Struthio camelus: one gene and its partner. The protein of the gene in region 1 purifies or fractionates together with the protein of each later gene. This does not show direct contact. Links are inferred from orthologs where the notes say so. Each region holds a gene or a part of one and is shown in the gene's direction. Other genes may lie near its edges.

Region 1 (6,921 bases):
TGGCAGGACCCTACGAGCTGCTCTGTCATGCAAGGGTGGCCAAGGCACCCTGGAGAGACGTCAATGCACGAGGCACGCCACTTGTGTGTGCCAGCAAGGGGCTGCATTGCAAGTAAATGGAATAATTTCTATAATACTTTTAATATTTCTACATTGAATATTCCAAATGCTTGTATTTCCCACCTTATTTGTCATACAGCAGCGTTAGCTGTAAAAAGTTTGCAGCCCAGCTGCATGTGTTAAGCAATGTGACCTGAACAGGAGATTAATATCAGAATCTGACTCTGCCAAGTAGTCACTAAAGGCTTTAGAAGGAAAAAGAATAGGGGACTCGGAGTACATTTGACTAGAAGGTTGTTCTAGGCATGCACTGCAGTGGAAAAGGCAGAGAGTCTAAAGCATGTAAAAATGATAAAAGGAGAGAAGGGGAAGCTTTGATCAAAGAGAGAGTGGGAGTGAGGGTGCTGGAGGTGCCTGCAGAGATGGAAGCAAAAGCAGGAGAGTGGAAGTCTTTGTACATGAGAAGATGCATAATTCTTTTGGAGTCAATCAAACTGGGGCCAAAGCAGTCTAGATGCAAATTACCATTCACCTCCTTCCATGTTCCTGAGTCATTTTTCCCCAAAACCCATGGGAATGTGGAGGCAGAGATTTTAAACAAAACAGTTTTGGAGTTCCTTTCATTTTCCTCCTGGTTTCTGAGCCTTTGGGTAACTGCAGTTTGTGTTTTCAAGTTTTCCTCTACAACTGTGAGAAGGAGAAATGTCTGGGATTTTTTTTCAAGTGGCAGAAAGATCCTTGTGCAATCACTGGGTTCCAGCCACTGAAGCTTCAGAAAAACAACAGCAAAGAACCGCATTCCCAAATACTGGGAAAGCCACGATGCTACTGAGAGACTCTAGAGTCTCTGCATAGTTACGTACACAATCATCTGTACAGACCCTTATGTGGATTTGCGGGTACTCATCGAATCAATACTACTGGGACAAAGAGGGACCGCTCAGCAAGACAAGTTTACACAGTCTCCAACATAGAGATACCTTAGCCACAGTATTAAATATAACGTACTTCTGAGCTGCTATCAATAGCTGAGTTGAGACAACACCAATGTTTCCCAAGGCAAAGTTTGGCTTTGGTTTGTGTTTTTATATTAGAGATGGAGCTTGTGACCAGGGCCGCTGGAAAGAGAGAATTCCTGCAGGGAGAAAACCTTGATAGTAACAGTGCAACATCCATCATGTGTCCTAAGGCCCAGGCAGACCTCACCATGGGAACGGAAGGGATATCTGCAGAGGATGAGAGTGGAAATCGTTCTCTACAGCCTATGGCATTACCGGCAGAGGCTGAGAAATTGCCAATTAGGCCAAGCTCTGATGTTGCTTGTAGTCTAGTGTCTTAAGGCAACGAAGCTCATACGATCGTGCCATCTGCCAGCTTTCTCCTCACGCATTTCAATTCAGCTTCCCCCAAGGTACTATCAAAGATAGTAACCCCGGCAAGTTTCAACAAAGCATGTAGCTGCATATATGTAGCTGCATAGAGAAGAGGGATCCTGTTAGTGTCCTTATTGAGAAACACATATTGCAGAGTTTAGCCTTTATTAGCCATCAGAGAGATGACAAAGGAGACAGAAATTCTGCATGTCCCAACCCTAGAAAACCTTGCTTGGTGTCTACACTTTATGAGACACCAAAGACCTAAGCATTAGACACAAGTCAGTAGGAAACTAGGTCCAGCAGACCTCACAACTGTTTTTTCTGGGCTCTGGACTAAGCTGAAGTGAGATGTGCCGGTTTTATATTGGGCTCTCAACAGACCCTGATGAGGCATGGTTATTGGCAGCATGAAAAAGATCAGCTCAAAGGTGGGCTAGAAATGGGAGTGTGATAGGACTCTGTCCAAATTTCCTTCTCCTGTCAACCTCCCATATTCTCCTAGGTTTTCAGCTTCTTATTCCTGTCTACCTCTGCCCCTGTTTAACTCTTTAGTTCTTATATACCAAAGTATCCAGGGTGATCAGCTTTCTAATACCAGCACAGTATCAACATCTACCTCCTTTTGTGACACCAAGCCAATTTCTTCCCCTGCCATCAGAAGAGGGACACGGTCAGAAACTTTTCTCTCTTCTGAAAAAGTACCTACAGACATCCACAAAAAGTGCACTCCACTACACTCAAACTCCAAGGTCAAACCTTGCGCTGACAAACTTGCGTGGGGTCAGGACAGGACAGCGAGGGATGTAGCACGTGTGCCTGCAAAGCTGAGCTGCGCTGAGATTAGAGCAGCAGCAACTGTAGAGCAAGAGAAAGGAGCCTTTGTAAGGCTTTCTGGAACTAGGACGAGAAGAGCAAGAAACGCTGCAGATTTGGGTTGAGGTGTCCTGATAGAGCGGTGCCTGCTGCATTTAAGAGCTCAGAACTGAGAAAATAGAGGATGCTCCAAGACAAATGCTGCTGCTTCTCAGATGACAGTGGAAAATTTGTTCCTGGCCCCCCACCCCAACCCATGAAATACAAACAAGCCAAACGCTTGCAGACCAGCCATGTTTATTAAAAAACCCCACAGATCCTGCTGAAACAGGAGTAACTGTGAAGAGAGATCAGAAACTCCTTGGACAAGACAGGTATCTTGTTAATAAGGCCTAGCCATGACATTTGCAACCTCATTTTCCCTTTGCCGCTCCAAGACTGCTCAACATTTAATGATTTCTTATCTAAAACACTCATTACTGTCCTAGTATATGCTACTGGGGGGTGAAGGGGATGACATAGTGTTTGCATCAAAGCCATTGTGCTGACAGTGCAGTTTTGACTGTCAGCCACTGAGATGTTTGGTTTTCCTTGAGACTCTTTTTTTAAACACACTTCAAACAATCTCCTTTCTTTTTTTCACAGCAATTTCAGACATTAGCACATCTCCTTGTTTTCAATAGTCCCTCATGCTGCTTCGCTTGCTGCAAAATGCACTGTACAATGGGAACTTTTTTTTTAATTAACACTCAGATTCCCAGGTGGAATAAATTATTCCAGCTCTATGTGATGCCAATTTATATCTGAAAACAATCTTGACCTAAGCTTCAGGCAGTTGCTATTGTGAAAATACCTTCCAAATACAAGTTGGATATAAATCCACTCGGTTTTGCTGCATAGGTTTGTAAAATAGGTTTGTAAAAGCTTGAAGTATCAGCTCTAAGAGAGATGCAAACTTTGATCCCTGCTGCCACATTGGTATTGAAGCTTATGAAAATGATAAATGAAATGGTAATATTGGTAACTGTAATTGTGGATTCTTTTAGAAGAGACAATAACTAATACACTTAAATGATCTCCAAGGAGCGATGTGGAACACCGGGCTCGGGAAAAGGACAGGTATTCACAAAGAGGTCCTGCGTAGGACGCGTAGTTGCTGAAGCCTTTCCAAGTTTCAGATCGCTTATGTCCCCAGCCTCAGCCGGAAGAAGAAAGGGAAGAACTGCTCCTCCTGCCACAGCAGGAAAAGCCTCCAGCTCTGTGGGGCTTGCATTACGGGTATTAAAACTGTGAAACAACGCTTGAGGTACCAAACTCCTAGCAGTATGCTCTTGAAAACCACCGCGCTGATCCTCCTAACTGCTATAGCACAGAAACACATTACTGCAAAGCACTGGGGCACATATAACATTTAAAGCAGCCTAAGTAAATCAAATACAAAATAAATCACACACAGAGGCATATCTTCACGCTTCATTGACCAAAACTATCGCCTTTACTGAAAGCCTGGCACCCAGGACGCAGCCAGAACAGGTGCCTGGGACTGCCCAGCCAAGAGCAGCTGGGTAACCTGTTTCAGGAGTCGCGTGAGGGTGGTAATTCAAGAAAACCCCACGTCCCCAGTGACAAGCTCCCTCCTTCCCAGGAGGGCTGGGCCAGAGACGCCGCCACGGTGCCACACGCACACCGAGCGCCATCCTGGCTCCTCACAGCCGCTCGCGGCCGAGGCAGCGCCGCACAGGCTGCGGCAGGAGGCCAGCTCTTTATAAACGGAAGTACAAAAGGCACAGCGCTCCCTAGCAGCATTCCCGGGCCTCCCGTCCACCCCGAGCTGGGCACTCGCCGGAGCCACGCGCCGCTAACGGCCGCCAACGGCACGGCCCCGCCCCGCACTGAGGCGGGACAAAATGGCCCCCCGGCGGCGGCGGCGGCGGCGGAGCGGGGCGGTGCCCTCCTCCCCACGCCCCGCCCCCCTCCTCCCTCCGAGCCGGCCCGCGGGAGGCGATTGGCTGAGGCGCCGGAAGCCGCGCGAGGTTACGGGGCAGCGTGGCCGGGCTGGCGTGGGTCAGGTGGGTGTGCGGGCGCGGCGCTGAGCTCCCCCCCCGCCCCGCCCCGCCCCGGGGGGCGCCGCCGCCTCCCCCCCCTACCACCCCGCCCCCCTCCCCGCAGCGGGCCGGGAAGCTGCGCTGGCTCTGAGGGAGGGAGAGGGTCGCCGGGCCGGGCGGGAGCGGCCGGAGGGAGGGGAACCCCCGCGCGAGCCGCTGCCCAACGGCCGCTGCCCAACGGCCGCGCAGGCCGTTGGGCGGCTTGTCGCTGGGTGCTGCGGCCGGCGGGAGGGCGGTGGTTTCCCAGGCGCAGGCGGCGTCAGCTGCCCGGGTGCCTCGTGGGCTCCTTAGGTGCTTCTGCCCCTGAGCAAGCGGCTGTATTCGCTCTCTTTGCCCCGAGGTACTCCCAGCCATCATGTTTGTCCTGGTAGAGATGACCGACACCGTGAGAATTCCTCCCTGGCAGTTTGAAAGGAAACTGAACGAATCCATTGCTGAGGAGCTAAACAAAAAATTGGCCAACAAGGTAAAGTGTGGGTCATCTAAAGGGTGATACAGGCTTCGTAGCATCCCCCTGTAACTGGGCGTTTCTGTATTTGTTCCTGATGAGACATGTGTGCGGAGTATCAGTTTACTTTACACGTGAGGGCCATCCCAGAGACTGGACTGTCAGAGACTGTAAAGGAAGAGACAGCTAGGTATCGTCTTGAAGGAAGATATTTTTCTCTAATAGCTAATGCTGTAAAGGGCAGATACCAAAATGCCAGATGGGGCAGAGAACCACTGAAGAGAAATGAGAGTAACTGTTGTTTTGTGGGCAGAGCTGCAACCTGAAATGGAGTCTGAAAAACGAATGCAAACTAACCTAGCCTATGGGGATTTTAAAAAAAGACAACGGAGATAAATGTGGAACAATAATATTGTAAGAGAACTGAAGGTGATAATATCAGTCCTGCTCTGTGCTAAGTACTTGAAATATAGTATGGCAGCAAGAAGCTGACCTTTGGTGTAGGATAGAGAAAAGCATTTTGTCATAGGCCAGGAGGTTGCAGCTTCTCTGTGGAACCCCTGGGGCTGTGATTAACCTACAGCTTTCAGCGTGAGACAGGTGCAAAACTCAAAATGCCGATAGTGAATGTGAAGAGAGCTCAAAAGAGCAACCAGAAGTGATCTAGGCTTGTGGACAGCAGACTATATTTACAGACAGGTTATGGAAAACAGATCTGTCATCCACTGATGACTGATAGATGCTTCAAACTTACTAAGCTGTGAAGCTATCGCAGAAGTGGCAAAGGAGGCAAGAGTTTTCTTCATCTGTGCCCGTAGCTCTTATAATTTAAGACAAAGGCAAGTCTTAGAGGCTCCTGAGAGTGCAACTTTAGCAAGAAATATATTTGGCCTTTAGATAAGCTATGGGGTTGGTGAGTGATGTCTGTCCTTTCCTATGGGCAAGTGTTTGCCATCGTGGCCAGTCAAGTTTTCTGGTCACTGATGATCACCCCAAGGGTTTCTGTTTGTAGCAGTGCTCTTTCTAGTGCCCGTAAAAAAACACATCCTCCCATAATGCTTGAATAAGAGCGAGGTTTTAGGTTCCTCTAAACAGTTAGAAGTGTGGATGGGGCTGTTGAAAGAGAGTACCAAAACATCCCCCTCCCATCTTGCCACTCTTCCATTGCCTTCCTTTGAAAAAGTGTGTACAGAATATAAATTTGAAAATAGTTAACCTGGAGGTGGATTGCTTGATTTATTGGGTTTTTTTTAAATTGTTTTTTCTTTGAGCAGGTTGTATACAATGTCGGTCTCTGCATCTGTCTGTACGATATTACAAAACTGGAAGATTCATACATATTCCCTGGAGATGGTGCATCACATACCAAAGGTTTATTCTTTCCCTCAGTTATATGGCTTTGCAGAATGTTAATGACCCAGAAGTGTAAACTAAGTTTAATTGTTATGTAAATTAAATTTAAAGGAACTTATTGAAGTTCACAACCTTAACTCTGTCCTTCTAGGAAGCCAAGAGGAACATGGCAGGAGTCTTTCCTTTGCTTTTTTTGTGACAAACGTAGCTTTAAATAGGCCGTCCTGTCTGCCTTCACCAACCGTCCATCTCTCTTTTCCTTATCCAGCAGCTATGCTACTAATTGGAAGGGGACTAACTGAATTTGAAGTGATTGGAAATCTGCAAATAGAAAATAGTTTGTATTAGTTCTCTTGTGTTTGTCCAGTGTTTTTTCTTTGCTTATTTGCTCTAGCTAGAAAGATGAAACTTGTTTCTAAATATAGCTTTCACACAATATTTGATGCTGTTTTTCTAAATGGGAGTTTTGCTACCTTTTTTTTTTTTTTTTGAGACTTAGGCAGATCTAGTTCAGCATACATTTATGATTGTGGGGGTTTGGGGTTTTTGTTTGTTCAGAAAATAGCAGATGATTACCTTCTTTACTTTTGAATTTTTGTCAGATCTGTCTGAATCAAAACTAGAACTAAATGCGTAAGAGATTTTTTTTGTTCGTTTGTTAGAATAAGTTCCTTTAAATGAGCTAGGAAGTGATGCATGTTTCTAACTTCAATTTTCAATGTAGAAGCGTAGCTCGAACAAATGAGATATTTCCTATTTGAAAGGA
Region 2 (7,640 bases), on another chromosome or scaffold:
ACTAATCTCCTTCTCCTATTTTCACTAGGACATCTACACTAGGAAACAGGGCTTGATCATTTTGTCATCACATTCTGAATCCCCTCATTTTTACCACTTTTCTTGTCTCATTAGTCATTTAGGAGTGTCTTTGTCCTTATTCTGGGCTTTAACAGAAGGTTGCTGATGTGTTGCAAAAATAGTAAGCACTGAATTTATAACCAGAATGGACCATATACAGAGAGCATCTTTGCTTCATGATGCTTGTGATATAGGCTCAAGGTTCGGACACAACCTGTGTAAGGATTGCGTGTGTTTCTGTCTGAAGATATTGAACAGGACTTACCCAAACTAAAAAAGGGGGAAAGGGAGGGATCCCAGGTGCTCCAGGCAGAGATTGGTAACACAGTGACTTGATATGAAATATTCGTGATTATGTATCCTAGAGTTTGGCCTTGCTGCCATTGAAATCAATTGTTCCACTGGAAGCTGTGAGGTGGGGTTGGGACACGAATCTGCAGCCGTGTGCACTTGAGTATTTTTCAGGGGAGACAACTGAGTTCGATTTCTGCCGTGTTCTTTTTCATAATCTATGCCTTGACTCCAAATCTGGTTTTGCAAGAAAGAAGCCTTTTGTGGCTGTTACCAGATGATCTTATTTTTATTAATCTATGCCTGATATTATACATAGTAATGGATGTATGCTTTCACATGGCATCTGTCAGCAGTTTCACTGTGTACTTAACACATTTTATAGGGATTAGTTTGCTTGTAGTATGTTGTTTTAACTCCTGTCCTAGTTTGTATCTAGGAGATGTATTAATTCTCTCTTCTCCCATTTATAGATGAAATAGGATCTCTTAAAGAGGCTTGGCATCAGGGAGCTGAACTGTTTTTTGGGAAAACAGTGAAACAGCACTGCAAAATAGGTCTTCTAATGCACACTGAAATGTATTCTCATCATTACTATCTTCTCTGTTTGTTCTGTTTTTGTTGTCTTTCCACTTCCACTTCCTGTCTTATTCTTTCAGGCTTTTATTTGCTTAGTGAAATAGAAAAATTGCCCCCAAAAACCCAACGCATAGTTAAATACCAAGGAAGTTCTGATGAAAAAGTACCGTATGTTCTACTTATTTTCCATTCTGGACACAGTATCACGGCCTGCAGTGTATCCTCCTTCTAGGACTTTAGTTGGCTAAGTTGGAGTTTAGCTGGCTGAGTGGAAGTCAGCTCCTTTACTGATAAGAGCTGTCGTGAAGAAAGCTCTAAGCGAGGGCCTGCCCCTCCTTGCCCTTGGGAACTGCTCTGAAGCTGAGGTTTTACCGCTGGCCTCCGCCTGTGCTACACGGCAGCCGCACAGCAGCTAAGTCTGCGCCTGCTCTCCTACCTCCGTGAGTCTCACCTGGACCCGGACCCCCTGGCTGGGCTTCCTGGGCTGGCCGTGCACCTGCCTTGTCACGACAGTCTTGCTAGGTGAGCCGTGGACTGTGTCTGACCCTCACCGCTGTCTCTGGCCCTGATCCTGACCTGGTGGTGATGTTCTGCATCTCATCTCCTTGGTGGTGAGGTCACTGCTCGCTCCGGCCTTATTAGTGCACTCTACTCCTGCCTCACCTTCCCTTGCGGAGCAGCCAGCCCTCGCTGGTCATACATTAATATTCCCATCTATACTCTTTTCCAGGCTGATGTACTATGAGATAATGAGTAAATTGCCCCTTTTGCAGCATGGAGAGGTTTAATTAAATATATTTTAATGTCCTCAGAGATTCAAACTTTATTTGTATTTGCTTTTGTAATCAAGGTCACATCTTTACTATTTCTTTTAGAGTGCCTTTTTGTTGAAAGAGACTAATACGTGTGGAGTTTAGCTCTGAAGGAGAGCCTTAGGGATTTCTAGAAATACACTATTCATAGTAGGACTAATTGTAAAAACTGAGTCCAGTAAAGAAAGAAGAGGACATAAACTGCTGCTCTACACTATCTTTAAAAAACATTCTTTTTTAACTGTCATTTTGGTTTAGAAAAAGAAAAAAGCTCTATAGACTGAACGTGCTAGTCAAATGCACTGTCAGCTAGGCTGCTGTGAAGCAGTGCTGACATTTTTTGTTAAAAATCAACTTTGTTTAATGAATTTTGAATGTAAAAGAAAAAAAGACACTATAGGGTGATCAGCAAAATGCTGAATACAGTAAACATCTTTCATGACAAAGAATACAAATACCATGCAGATCTGCTTTCAATAGCAATTACTAGGCCCCCTGCTTTCAATAGTTAATACCGAGGCCCCTCTCTCACCAAGCCTTAGCGGTTACAATCACAAGCCAATGCTTAAAATGTTGACATGCTAAGCACATTTAGAAAACCTATGTCTGCATTCCCTATGGATGGTGTAGCATAACTGTCTAACATCTAAACTGCAACCATTAAAAACAAAGTTAACTCGGCTAATCATCCCACCTCTCCGGAAAAGTTGTAGGTATGGATAATGAGCTCTCTCTTAGAGATTCCTCTTCTCCCTTGCATGATGTCAGTGGATCTCTGGCCAGTCTATTTTTGTGAAATTGCCAACAGGGTGTATGTCTCCACTGGAAAATATTTAGGAAGGATATGTCTCTATTGGAAAAAAAATTCAAAAGCCATTCTGAGAGGCATGTGTATTATGCTTATTCTTCCCAGCAGCTGGGATGGGACATGGTCGTCAGGGCTTCTAAAAAAGTGTATCAGCAAAGGTCTGGAATGAGACTTTTGGAGAAACACTGAAAACGTAGATGATAAATTGCGTTTAGGGGAGAGAGATAAGGAGGAGGTGCCAAGGAGAATAAAATTAATATGCTTAAGATTTTCAACTCGTGTCTAAAGAGAATGATGAGGGGAAGACAAGGATTAGTGGATTTCTAGAACAAAACCCTGAAAAAGAGTCTGGAAGTATATTCTTGAAAGAAAGCTGACATTCTTTCTTTTCTTTTCTTCGCTTTGACCTAGCTGGGAGCAAGTGTACAAGCAGTTTCACAGACAAGGTTTGAAGCATGGCAGAGAAGTTACAGAGCATTTGCTGTGCCAGTTTTGGCCCAAGTACAAGGTCAGTTAATCCTGACATGAAAAAGGACAGCATCCATCACATCCTATCCACTAATTCAGACCAATGGCTTTCAGTCTGCAGTGTGAAGACCTTTCTCCTTGGTCTTTTTCCTAAGGATTGATGAAAGGTGATTCTGGAACAGGAATTAATTTCCGTCTGTGCTACAATCTGTGTACGTGAACATGGCCCACATATCCACTGACACTTTTTCAGGGGTCTGCAACTGAAAAGGGCTGAAAAACCTTTGCAGCAGGGTTTTAAACTTTGCCCACCTCTTAGACACCTGATCGCGGTGGTACACCCAAGTACCCGAGTGCGTCTCCCGCTGTCCTTGCACTGAAGACTGCCCTTGAACCGCTGCAGTTTGGTCCCATCCTTCAGAGCTAGGTGAGGATTTCTAACACCGCAGAGAGAAGCAACGTCCCAGACTGAGGGTGGACCTTCTTCTGGCTTGATTCTGGAGGGAAAACTGGGTGAATGAATTTTCTGCTAGTATCACAGGACAAGCGAGGGAGCTTGTGGGCACAAAATATCCAACCGGTTTGGCTCCCTAGATTTCTCTTAACAAGCATGCATGTGTGATTCTGTAGGGAGTTACTGCTGTCGTGTTTGTATATAAACTTCTACCTGAGGGGCCAATAGCAAAATAAGTGATTTAATGTATTCCTGGCTCTCAATCTCTGATGCAGACGTAATTATCCCTGCTGCAGCCATTGGGATTTTCAGTTATTTGCACTCAATGAAATGTGTTCAGTTTTCTCAAGAGTGAAAAGAGCTCTTGCAAAATGTAGTAGCATATGTAAGAAAAGAGAAAGACTCAGGCTGATGGTGGAAAAAGACATATAATGAGCCTGAAGATGTATGCACAGGTGTTTTCAAAGACGACTGGAGGAAAGGGAGTATTATACAGCTTACAGTGTTCTGTTTGCACGCAGCTAGAAATTTGGTTTGGAAGGACCTCTAAAATACAATTTTTTTTCATTGTTATCATGTCTAAAGTGCCTAATTTTCAGAATCCAAATAGATTTTCAGAACATATTTTGCCCCACGTATCATTTTTGTAGTGAGCTTTCTGTCCACGGTAGTTACCGTTCTGGAAAAGTGCAATTTGTCTTTCCTTTAAAAACATAAAGGATCTGTTGCCTGTAATTCTGTATTATATGCTAATTTTCTATATGATCCAGAGGGACTAGCAGGCACATCTGTTTTAAACTTTCGTGAAAGCCCGAGAGGTCTTTTACTGCTCCGTGAAGATTTTGCGAAAGTGAGATAGGATCAGTGCAAAAACGCTCTCGCACGGGTAGAGGGGCGCGGCCGGAAAAACAGCTTCTACCGGGGGCATTGGTGGTTCAGTGGTAGAATTCTCGCCTGCCACGCGGGAGGCCCGGGTTCGATTCCCGGCCAATGCAACTGCGCTTTTTTGGTTTCTTGTTTTTTTTTTTCCTCCCCCCCTTCCCTCTCTCCCTCTTTGTCCATTTTTCCTCCTTCCTGAGTCCCGAAACCGCTTTCAGCTCAGCCCCGACCTCCCCAGCGCTCCCCTCGCCGTGGCTCAGCGGGCGGCGGCGCGCGCGGGGGGAAGCGGAAGGTGCCCGGGCGGGCGGCGGCCGCGGGCGGCCTCAGCGCGCAGCTGCGCGCGGGGACAAGATGGAGGTGTAAGGAGGCGGCGGGCGCGAGGGGCGGGAGCGGGCCGGGGCCGGGATCCTCCCCGCCCGCGGCGGGTTACGGCCGCTGGGACCCGCGGCTGTGCTGGGGGGGGGGTGGGGGGTGTATGTGTATGGGGCTGCCCGCGGTGTGCGTGTTTGGGGGGGGTGGTATATGTGGGGCTGCCTGAAGTGTGTGTGGGGGGGAGGGTTGTATGCGTATGGGCCCTCCTGTAGTGTGTGTATAGGGGGGATATGTATATGGGGCTGGGGGGGCAGACGTGCGTGGGCCCTGGCGCGGGGGGCTGGGGGGGCAGACGTGCGTGGGCCCTGGCGCAGGGGGCTGGGGGGGGGCAGACGTGCGTGGGCCCTGGCGCAGGGGGGCTGGGGGGGCAGACGTGCGTGGGCCCTGGCGCAGGGGGCTGGGGGGGGCAGACGTGCGTGGGCCCTGGCGCAGGGGGCTGGGGGGGCAGACGTGCGTGGGCCCTGGCGCAGGGGGCTGGGGGGGGCAGACGTGCGTGGGCCCTGGCGCGGGGGGCTGGGGGGGCAGACGTGCGTGGGCCCTGGCGCGGGGGGCTGGGGGGCAGACGTGCGTGGGCCCTGGCGCGGGGGGCTGGGGGGGGCAGACGTGCGTGGGCCCTGGCGCGGGGGGCGTGGGCCGGGGCAGACGTGCGTGGGCCCTGGCGCAGGGGGCTGGGGGGGCAGACGTGCGTGGGCCCTGGCGCAGGGGGGCTGGGGGGGGCAGACGTGCGTGGGCCCTGGCGCGGGGGGCGTGGGCCGGGGCAGACGTGCGTGGGCCCTGGCGCGGGGGGCTGGGGGGGCAGACGTGCGTGGGCCCTGGCGCAGGGGGGCTGGGGGGGCAGACGTGCGTGGGCCCTGGCGCGGGGGGCTGGGGGGGGGCAGACGTGCGTGGGCCCTGGCGCAGGGGGTGTGGGCCGGGGCAGACGTGCGTGGGCCCTGGCGCGGGGGGCTGGGGGGGCAGACGTGCGTGGGCCCTGGCGCAGGGGGTGTGGGCCGGGCAATATACCCGCTGCACCCAGTAAGAATTCCCGGAGCGCGCCCCGTTCGGGGAGCGCCATGGCCACTGTGGCGTCTGGTCCTGGCCAGGGGCCGTGCTAGGGGCCGTCGTACCCCTCAGTTGGGCCTTTGCCTCCGATGCCTCGCGTTCGTTTGGGCGTTCTGACGAGAAGCTGAGGTTTTCCGTTTGCTTTGCAAATATTGCTGAAACGTCCGTTTATTTGGGAAAAAGACATTGCAGCTTAGTTTTAATCCTGCTCTGGGTCCGCATCCCCCCTTCCTTCCCTTCCCCTCCTGCCTGGTGGGACGTGCCTGCATGCAGCCTTCTCCCTTTCCTTTCTTTTTTTAATCACCCGCCAGGCAAGCCTGGCAAAACAAGGCAAGGCGAATGGCCTGCAGAATCGCCTGCAGGCTGAGAACAGTTTCTGTGAAGGGCAAATAAACCCTTGATGGGAAGAGCAGAACGTGCTGGCGGGGAGAAGCAGCAAACACAGCGGGCGGGCGCAAATGCCCGCGGCAGGTCTAGCTTTTGGCCAGCCCGCCGTGGCTGGCAGGAAGAGCAGCCGGCCTGGCCCCGATGTCAGCACCGCTAACGTTACCTGCGCTATTGCAATTCATGCTATCCGTGGATGCTTTGTTATCATTAAATGTGCTACACTTCAAAAGTAGATAATAAGCAGTCATCAAAATATTAGTTTGTATCCCCATTGGCCTTAACGTGAGTAACAATCTGCAGGGAAATGCCCCGTTCTTGCCGTTGTGTCCCCCAAAATGCTGTGAAACGGGTGCACAGCCAGGCTCGAAGATGCGTGGGGAAAGATAGGATTTACCCTGCTGAAGAAGATTCTTTTGGCACCATTAATTCTTAAGTCTGCGGTGCCGCTTATGCACCTGCTTGATTTTTACTACCCCGAGTAGTAAAAACCCCAAGTTATTTTAATGGTGCTACTTCTTTTAGTACCAGGAGGAAGGTGCACCTGGGCCCCAAAGTCCTGACCGGTGAGTGGACCCTTGCGTCAAAATTGAGCAATCTAGTCCGTTTTGGACTTTGAATTGCCGTTGCAATCGCATCTTGTGCTTCCCTACCGCGTACCTCTTGCCTGGCAGCCCCTTCATAAAGGGACAGTCTGCAGCTAGGAAAACCTGCCTTACCTAAGGCCTTACCGTTTCAGAAGTATCTGTTACTAGAGGGGGGGGGAAAAAAACCTCCGCAAAATGCTTTAGTTTAAATGTAAAACATTTTTCAGCAGTAGATTTAAAACAGGAGGTGCCGGTGGTATTTTCGAAGATGTGATACCGTGCACTGAGCTACTTTTTGATATTGCGTGGAGAAGACAGTCTCAGTAATGTTTTGAACAAAAATTTGGAGCAGTAATAGCTGTGTAGTGTTTACAGATTTAGTGTTAACATCGCGTTTTCCTATCTTTTTTTTTGTTTAAACCTTAATCTCATAAAAGCCAAGCATACTGTTTAGCTGTCTATTTTAAAAATATACACTACTAGAATTCATTCTTTATAATTTTTTCTTAATTTGATTTTTTTAAAGTTTTTTTTAGCATTTATGAGAGTTAGGACAGAAGAAAGCAATTATATTTCTGCTTTGTAAATGCTACAAAAGTCTTTGAAACACTAGACTTGTTAGTTTATAATTCTGATATTTCAGCACAACAAAAATTCTTGAAGATTTGAGATTTAAGTGGGCTCATGTTTGTAATCCAATGTTACAGAAAAATAGGCATTTTTCTAAGAGACAAAATGTTACACGATTATAAAGGAAGCAATTGTCTTCCAGAGTTTTAAAATCAGTTTCCCAGAGACTCTGATTCTTGCACGGTAAATTGTTGACTCTGTATGATCATCTCACTTGTTTAATTGAATGATTCTATATATTTAATTCTTCCGCAGCAGTATTGTTTCCAACAGAG

The links. Proteins that work in one complex are often made in the same cells at the same time.
Region 2: the proteins of POLR3H (region 1) and CRCP purify together in Homo sapiens (affinity purification with mass spectrometry; 4 studies listed by BioGRID and IntAct, with this or other methods). This does not show direct contact. The link is inferred for Struthio camelus from reciprocal best matches to the Homo sapiens genes POLR3H and CRCP.

The regions. Positions count from the first base shown.
Region 1 is NC_090942.1:56,716,528-56,723,448, forward strand, and holds the start of POLR3H (DNA-directed RNA polymerase III subunit RPC8), read left to right. Parts: upstream 1-3,912; 5' UTR 3,913-4,156; coding exon 4,157-4,318; intron 4,319-4,694; coding exon 4,695-4,820; intron 4,821-6,076; coding exon 6,077-6,173; intron 6,174-6,921.
Region 2 is NC_090957.1:15,565,472-15,573,111, forward strand, and holds the start of CRCP (DNA-directed RNA polymerase III subunit RPC9), read left to right. Parts: upstream 1-4,633; 5' UTR 4,634-4,702; coding exon of another isoform or gene 4,703-4,710; intron 4,711-6,574; exon of another isoform or gene 6,575-6,714; intron 6,715-7,620; exon of another isoform or gene 7,621-7,640. UniProt on the Homo sapiens protein: DNA-dependent RNA polymerase catalyzes the transcription of DNA into RNA using the four ribonucleoside triphosphates as substrates.